2 linked regions of the Rhinolophus ferrumequinum genome follow. The protein of the gene in region 2 purifies or fractionates together with the protein of the main gene of each other region. This does not show direct contact. Links are inferred from orthologs where the notes say so. Each region holds a gene or a part of one and is shown on either strand. Other genes may lie near its edges.

The links. Proteins that work in one complex are often made in the same cells at the same time.
Region 1: the proteins of MEPCE (region 2) and SNRPN purify together in Homo sapiens (affinity purification with mass spectrometry; 3 studies listed by BioGRID and IntAct, counting the BioPlex papers as one, with this or other methods). This does not show direct contact. The link is inferred for Rhinolophus ferrumequinum from reciprocal best matches to the Homo sapiens genes MEPCE and SNRPN.

The regions. Positions count from the first base shown.
Region 1 is NC_046311.1:14,877,477-14,881,222, reverse strand, and holds the start of SNRPN (small nuclear ribonucleoprotein-associated protein N), read right to left. Parts: upstream 2,197-3,746; 5' UTR 2,196-2,196; coding exon of another isoform or gene 2,044-2,195; intron 1,302-2,043; coding exon of another isoform or gene 1,259-1,301; exon of another isoform or gene 937-1,258; intron 174-936; coding exon of another isoform or gene 153-173; exon of another isoform or gene 1-152.
Region 2 is NC_046290.1:90,767,541-90,771,286, reverse strand, and holds the start of MEPCE (7SK snRNA methylphosphate capping enzyme), read right to left. Parts: upstream 2,431-3,746; 5' UTR 2,042-2,430; coding exon 380-2,041; intron 1-379. UniProt on the Homo sapiens protein: S-adenosyl-L-methionine-dependent methyltransferase that adds a methylphosphate cap at the 5'-end of 7SK snRNA (7SK RNA), leading to stabilize it.

The sequences.
Region 1 (3,746 bases), on a different chromosome or scaffold from region 2:
GTGAAATAAATAGAAAATAAATTAGTTTAAAAGATTCCAACTAGTGTATTTTCAAAACAAACAGAAGTGGGCAAAATAAAATTCAACCTCATGCTGTGGTTGAAACCTGGGTATAGGAAGTTTCTGGTTTACTTTTCCATTTTTCTTGACTGTCACTCACATGCTTTCAATTTCTATAATGAAAAAGGAAATGTACCAATTGTTAAAATGTCTTTAAAACCACCCATCTGCATGTACACCAGACGTGACATGATTCTTAGACGGGACCCTCATCCCGGAAACGTACTGACTCCCTGCTCAGTAATGGCTGCCTCACACACAGTCCTGCTTGAGCCCTTTCTCCCACCTTCTGCAGCATCCTCACTCCCCCACTGGCTCCTCCCTGGTGTTTTCATCCTTACATGAGCTTTTCTAAAGACAGGTCAGCTAACTTTGTCTTTTAAAAGGTAAGATAATAAATATTTTACGCCTTGCCTGCCACTGTAGTGCCAATACAGCCATATGCAAATAAATGGACATGGCCGTTTGCCAATAAAACTTTATTTACAAAAACTGGCAGTGAGTGGGTCAGATCTTTACTACCCCGCTCTAAAATAATAGTATTAACTAGTACCATTTAGATAAAACTTTGAGACTGCAGTAAAATATAACATCAGAAAATTAGATGGCCCTATTTGCAGACTGTACTCCATGATTTAAATATCATATTTAGGAACTTAAAAGAGTACGTGAATTGCACTGAGGAGCCAAAAAATTCCTGTTAAAAAAACAACTGTGCACTTACTCATGTAAGACTGTCCTTACTCTGGGGATAGGGATAATGATCAGATTCCATTGTTTGAAAGCAATTCCACTGTCTTACAATCAAGTCCGGGCAACCACTGAAAAATGCTGGGTAAGGAATTCCGCAGGAGAGGGTTTTTCTCAAAAAAAAAAAAAAAAAAAAATCTCCTTTGCTTTAAAATTCAAAAATGGTGCCCATAAACAGGCCGAATTAATTTGAGTTGAGGGATAACATTTTAAACAGAAATAAAGAAAATCTAAAAGAAAACTCATCTATAAACCCCATCCTTCTCTGTTTCAGTTTCTAAAAAGTATCTACTAAACCCTTTTTATTGAGGTCATACAAATCTTAAAAAAAAACAAAGTCATAAAGGAAAAACAAAGTATTAAATCAGAATCAAAATCTGAACAGCTTTTTCCTAAATACGTAAGCAACCAACATAAAAAGAAAAGACAGACTGCAAATAAATCTACATCACATTGAAAAGTCATGAAAAATATCTTTATTACATTGCCAGCTGATTCAAATACATTGGTGAAAACAAAAAAAATGTGAGAAAAAGACAAAACAAAAAAGGAATAATTAGTAAGTAAGTATGGGAAAATATTTAGCTTCTTATTTGCTAATGAATGTGATATATATTTATAATTCAGTAGGCACAAGTGATAGATCATTAAAATAACCAGTGCAGGTCAAAGTGTATTGTAACCGACACTCCATTTTTTCAAGGCAATGAAGACTGATTAATAATATAATACTTTTTGTAATACAATTTAGAAAATGTACCTTGAGCTCATATTCCTTGATTCAATTTACTTGCACAACTGCATGAGGAAATAATCCTGTTTTATGCAAAGCAATTCACTGAAGCTTTATTCAAACTACCAGCAGAAAAATGAAGTCTCTCACAGAAGGGAGTTAGAAAACATTCATTAGCAGAATATTCAGCAGCCATTTAGAATGAAGTTCATTTTCCATGTAATGTTAGTTTGAAAATCAATACAAGTTAAGTATGAATAGAACTACCTAAAAAGCACGCAGTACAATGAAATGAAAGGAATACAGAAACATGACGAAGGTACAGAGAGAAGCAGTCAGGTCTCGCTTTTACTTTTTTTAACTTTCTGCAATCTGCTTATTGCATGAAGCTTTTAAGGAAAGGAAATTCCTTTACCAACACATCCCAGATAATGATGTGACCTCCAAACACCCTACTCTAAGGATTTCTTTACTCCTGCTCAGGACTGATCAGTTCTAACCTGGATTTCCGCTTGGAGTCCGCTACCTGGGATGTGCCAAGACCACTTAACCACCTCTTGGGGTCTCGGCTAAGAACGCCTGCCTCAGTTCGGCCTGGAAATCCACAACAGGTACTTGCTGCTGCTGAGATCGCCTCGGGTACAGCTGACACCTACAGCAAAAGGACAGGACACATGCATGAAAAGACATTTGCTATGTGGCTAGCAATATGGAAGCAAACACAGAGACCCTTACATTTAAAGGGGTCCTCACTTAGGGTGACAGCATGACATCACCTTATGAAGAAATTCTAAATCAGGAAACAGGGGCCTGTCTCTGCACACAGGGAGCTGAGGGATACTTACCCACTTGGGGACTATTACCAAGGAAGTTAAAACACAAAAAGAAACCAACCAAGAGCTCTTCCTGTGGAAAAATCACTAGTGCCATATCCATTACTCACTTTCGAAACTTCCTATCTGGAAAGTTCTTTAACCCCAAGCGAGGGGGCTGGGCCTTGTGGAGGCATTCCCATTGAGATATTAGGCTGTCCTCCAAGCCCATCCTGCTGAGATGTCACTAGCTGAAACAACGAATTCCAGGATCCAGGTTCAGGTTCTCAAACTATGTCAACCATCCATTAGTAGGGAATTCCAAAGACAGATCCCTATGGATCAGTAATCTGGCAGATCCCTATGGATCAGTAATCTGGCAGTGAATCTGAACCTCAGGATAAGGAAGAGATGTATGAAGTTACAAACAAGACAGGCACGAAAAAAATAATTCACCAGCAAGTCTGCCCTTGTTGATTAAGCATATACCTATATAAACACACATACATATGCATGTACATGAAAATATTCAACAGCAATTAGATTTGGAAATGGGGCTGTGATAAAACGTTTTCCACTATTTTCCGTACTTTTTCAGTAACATTTGTAACATTCTGTGATATAATAAAGAATTAGATTGGACTTTGCCCATGGCTCCCAGATCCTTTAAAGCCCTAAATTTAGCCAGTGTTAGGAGAGCCTGTGTTATTCACTGCAAGCCCTCTGGCTCACACCTGAGTTAATGCTAAGACCACGCCTCCTCCAGATCCGAGGAGACAGGACCTGGCCAGGCCACAAAGACCAGGCGGGGCTTAGAGGGTTGGGACTGGGCGCCTGCCCTCCTTGGAAGGGAAGGGAGCTGGGAACTGTATGTGACAAATGTCCTGTCCATCATGTCTAGGTAACGAACCGCTGAGAAGAACTCTAGACACCCAGTTCTCTGCATACACACTGATGTGTGGACAACCCATCACACGCGGAGGGTCACATCCTGGGAGTCTTCCTCTGGCTCACCCTGATTTGTATCCTCTGTAATAACATCACAAGCACAGTGCTTTCTTGAGTTCTGAGTCACCCTAACAAAGTATGGAACCCGAGGGAGTTGTGGAAACCAAGTGCATCCAGCTGTCATGAAGGGTGGGTCTAGAAACGCTGGTGCTCACAGCTGGTATCTGAACTGAAGGTGAGCTTGTGGTGGGACGGTCTCCTTGACCTGTCACGGTCCCCTTGACCTGTCATGGCTGCACTAACTCCAGGCACTATGACTGCTCACGCCTTTCCATTTCCCACTCCAATCACTGAATTCAGTCTTCACTCGGACATTGGCAGTTCCAGTCCTTTCATTACAAATTAGCAACTAAGTCTTTAAGCTAACAAGGTTCTAAAAAGTA
Region 2 (3,746 bases):
CCATGTCTGACACCCATTCCTTCATTGCACCTTCAGTAGGTTGGAAGACAAGTTTTCAACTAGACCAAATTAGCAGCAGCAGCCTCCAAAGGAAGGTGGACTGGTTTGGATTATAGTTCAGGCTGGGAACAGGGCAAAAGGAGACCCCCTTTTGGGGCTAGTTGTCATGAGAAAAGAGCCCAGGTGTAGCTCTCATCTTTCTAGTTTATAGAGGGAGAGACAACCAGATGAATCAGTTGCAGATTCAGACCCTTTTCTTAAGGATCTGGTTTTCCTATCAAGAACTGCACGCACAGAAATCCCTCTGGTTCACAACCTTCCCCTGCCACATTCCCATTTAATCTCTTCATACCTGGCCCCTAACCCAACACCCTCTTACCGTGACGAAGACAACATTGTTGGGGAAGACTGATGTGTCTGCTCCATCCAAGGGCACTTGGGGTGCAGCGATGGGACCCCTGCTGGCTGTCAGTGAGGCTGGGAAGCAGCTTCTCTTTTGGACTGTCGTAGTCCCTTCTTCACTCTCTGCCCCTGGGTCCCCCTCAGAAGGCTGGGGTGGCAGTCGCAGCTCCTCAGACAGGTAGTGTCGGATGTTTTGGCGGGCCGAGTGGATGAGCCGGGGATCGATATCTAGGCCCACCATGCGGGATGGGCCCCATTTACAGGCAATGCTCAGGGTCAGATGGCCCACATTGCAGCCCAGATCTAGGACGTCCCGACCCCGAAACCACTCAGGCTTCAACACCCGAAGGCGCCCATCCTCACAGGAAGGATTGCGGTACCCATAGTACTTGGAATAATTCCCATACTGGAACTTGCGCTGTTGCTTTTTAAAGCCTGTTGCAGGTAGTGGGTGGACGTGGTGGCGGCTTCCCCCACTCCCTCGGCCCTTTTCCTTGGGACCCTGGCCTCCACCCCTAGCCCCTGCCTCTGACTTGCTGGAAGTCCTGCGACGTTTTCGATGTCGTGAGGAGGAAGACGAGGGTGCAGAGGTAACTGAGGCAGCTGGAGGGGTTGAAAGGGAGCCTGAGGGACCCTGTAGGGCGGATGGAAGGGGAGACACGACCTCATCCCTGCAGTTGATGGCTGTGTTGAGTTCATAGGGCTGGGGGGCATCCCGATTCTGGCCCCTGTGCCGCTGCTGCTGCTGTGTGGTGCCCTCCCCATGGAGTGAGGGGGTGAGGGGGGCTGTGGGCAGCAAGGAGTGGCTATCGTTCCCTCCAGTTGTTGCCTGCTGCTGCTGGTGGTGCTGTCCCCGGTGTCTATGCCGTTTCCGACCAGTCTTGAGTGGTGAAGCAAGAACTACTTGGGCCTCATCAGTGCAAGTGTTGAGACTGAGCGGGTCAGTAATATCTTTGGGGATGAGAATCTCCACTGGATCTCGCCCCTTGGCTGGAAGTGGGGATGACTTAGGGGTCTCTGCATTGAGTGCGCGGCTCACTTCCTCATCCAGGAGACTATTCAGGTTCAGTGGATCAAAGATATTGCCCCCCAGGAGGAAGTTGGAGGGTAACACAGAGTCACAGTCCGAATTAACCCGCCTGCGCCTCTTGAAGGCCGGATGTTTGAAGCCTCCACCACCTCCTACATTGCAGCTATTTCTCCTCTTGCCTCCACCTCCCCCAGGGGGCCGGTGGGGTTGATAGCCATTACGGGGTCGGGGCGGGGCAGGGGGGCCCAGTTCTGTTCCGCCCCCTCCCCGTCGCTCCTCCCCCACGTCCGGGGGAGCCGCTCGCCCGTGGGGATCCGACAAGCGGGCCTCCCCGTGCGCCTGGGGGCCGCCCCCTCTTTGCTGCTGCGACTGGCCTCCCCGAGGGGTGGATGTAGCACCGGGGCTCTCCGTGCCGGCCCCAGAAGCTGGGGCCCTGGCTGACTGTGCGCGCGGGCCCGGCCCCTGCTGCGTCCTGCCTCGGAGCTCCCCGGAGGCAGCCTCTCGGTGCGGTTGCACCGAGGGGCCGCCCCCTCCGCCAGACTCCTCTTTGAGCGGCGGTGGCGGGGCCGGCACCAGAAACGGCTCCTTCTCTGCCGCCATCTCGATCATTTCCTCCCCTTATTCCGTCCCAGTCGAGGGGGGGGAGGAGGGCCAGGGGGCTTAACCCCCCTTCTTAGACCCCGCTCCCTTCCCCCCCTCCTAAGTGCGCGCGCAGCTCTGCTCTTCTCGCCTAGTCTCGCGCCCAAGCACCTCCCCCGAAGCGCGCCCCACTCGCCCGCGAGACCACAAGATGCCCGCGAGACCCGAACAACTCGAGGAATCAACCGCGCGTGCGCCGACCCTTTCCTCCCCTACCACTACCGCTTTGCCGCGAGCGCGCACTGCTGGAGCGCGTTCCTCTCGTCCCAGAATCACGCATGCGCACTCTGCCACCACCCGGGTCGCGCGCGCATCCGAGTACGAACCAACTTAACGGCTCCGGGACTTTAAATATAGCCCCCCTCAACCCCCACAAAGAGCCCACCACCCCAAACTGACACCCTACTTCCCTTCGCAGCTATGTTCGTCCCTACTGATATCCTTTGTCTCTGCCGCGCGATCCCACCCACCGTAGGCGGGGTACGGGGAGCTGGTGTGAAAAGGTCTCCTTGACACCCGACCCTTGTTCCTGAGGAATGAGTCTCAGCGGCCTCCGCCCGGCTCTAAACCCAACAACCTCCCTACCCCGCCTCCTTCCTCCCCCTAGCGGGCAGCGCCTGCGCACAACCTTCTGGGCTTGCGCGGGTAGATGCAGCACGTGCTGGAGACGACGCCCCGCCCTCCGTACTAGGGGCGGGGACTGTTACGTCGCTTCCTCAGGTTTGGTACACGTAACTTGCGTGAGCACGATTCGGCGGGGCGTGGCGAAGGAACAGGATGGTTCATGAATTATTCATGACCTGGTTGCCCCCACCTCCCTTTGCCCACCTACTACTTAGAAAGGCTTCAGAGGAGCGGAGGAGTGAATTCTGAAAAAGTTAAGGGAGGAACGGAGCGTCCAAACCGCCTTCCTATGAACTGTTCTCAGTAAAGTACGATCGGTCATTTTAACTCACCCCCCCGGAAAATATTCGCTGCTGAACTGAAAAAAAAATCAGCACTAAAACATCCGATGTTGTCCAACTTCCTCTTCCCTCGAAATGGCCGAGTTGTTCTCTCGCTGCTCCGTCTTTCCCCAGTCGTGATCACCTGGGGACACCACGCCCTTCCCTGTTTCCACACGCACAGCCCCGACCCCAACGCCTCCGCCCACCGCCCGACGCCTGCGCACGAGTCCCTAGCCCGCGGACTGCGACCCTTTGCCCACTACAACCATCCTCTCGCAAGCAGTCCTTCCCGAGCGCAAGCTGCGGATTCGCGCCCCTTTCTAGAAAAACGAGTGTGGCTGGGGAAGAGGTTTTGGTCTACTTTGGGCCCCTGCCTCGGCCAATGGGGAGGAAGCTATTCGACGCTCTTTCCACTGGGTGTTAGGTGGCCCGTTCTCCCTGCCAAGAGTGCTTGGGGGTGCGGGTCCTGTGGCTGAGAAGAGCAGTAGAGGCGAGAGTGGGGCTAAGTATAGTTTCAAATAAAATATTAAAATAAGGGTGCGAAGGAGACTAAAAGGAAGAATAGGAATCAGGGAACGAAAAGAGGAATGAAAAGGCAGTCTGGGAGAGAGAAAAGTTAGGAAAAGAAAGATGTGCTTCCTCAACCGTCGGGCGCTGCTTCGGAAGCCTTAAAAGCAAAAAAGGTGAGGCCGACCAGGATTATGGGATTTGTAGTTTTAGAGGGCGTT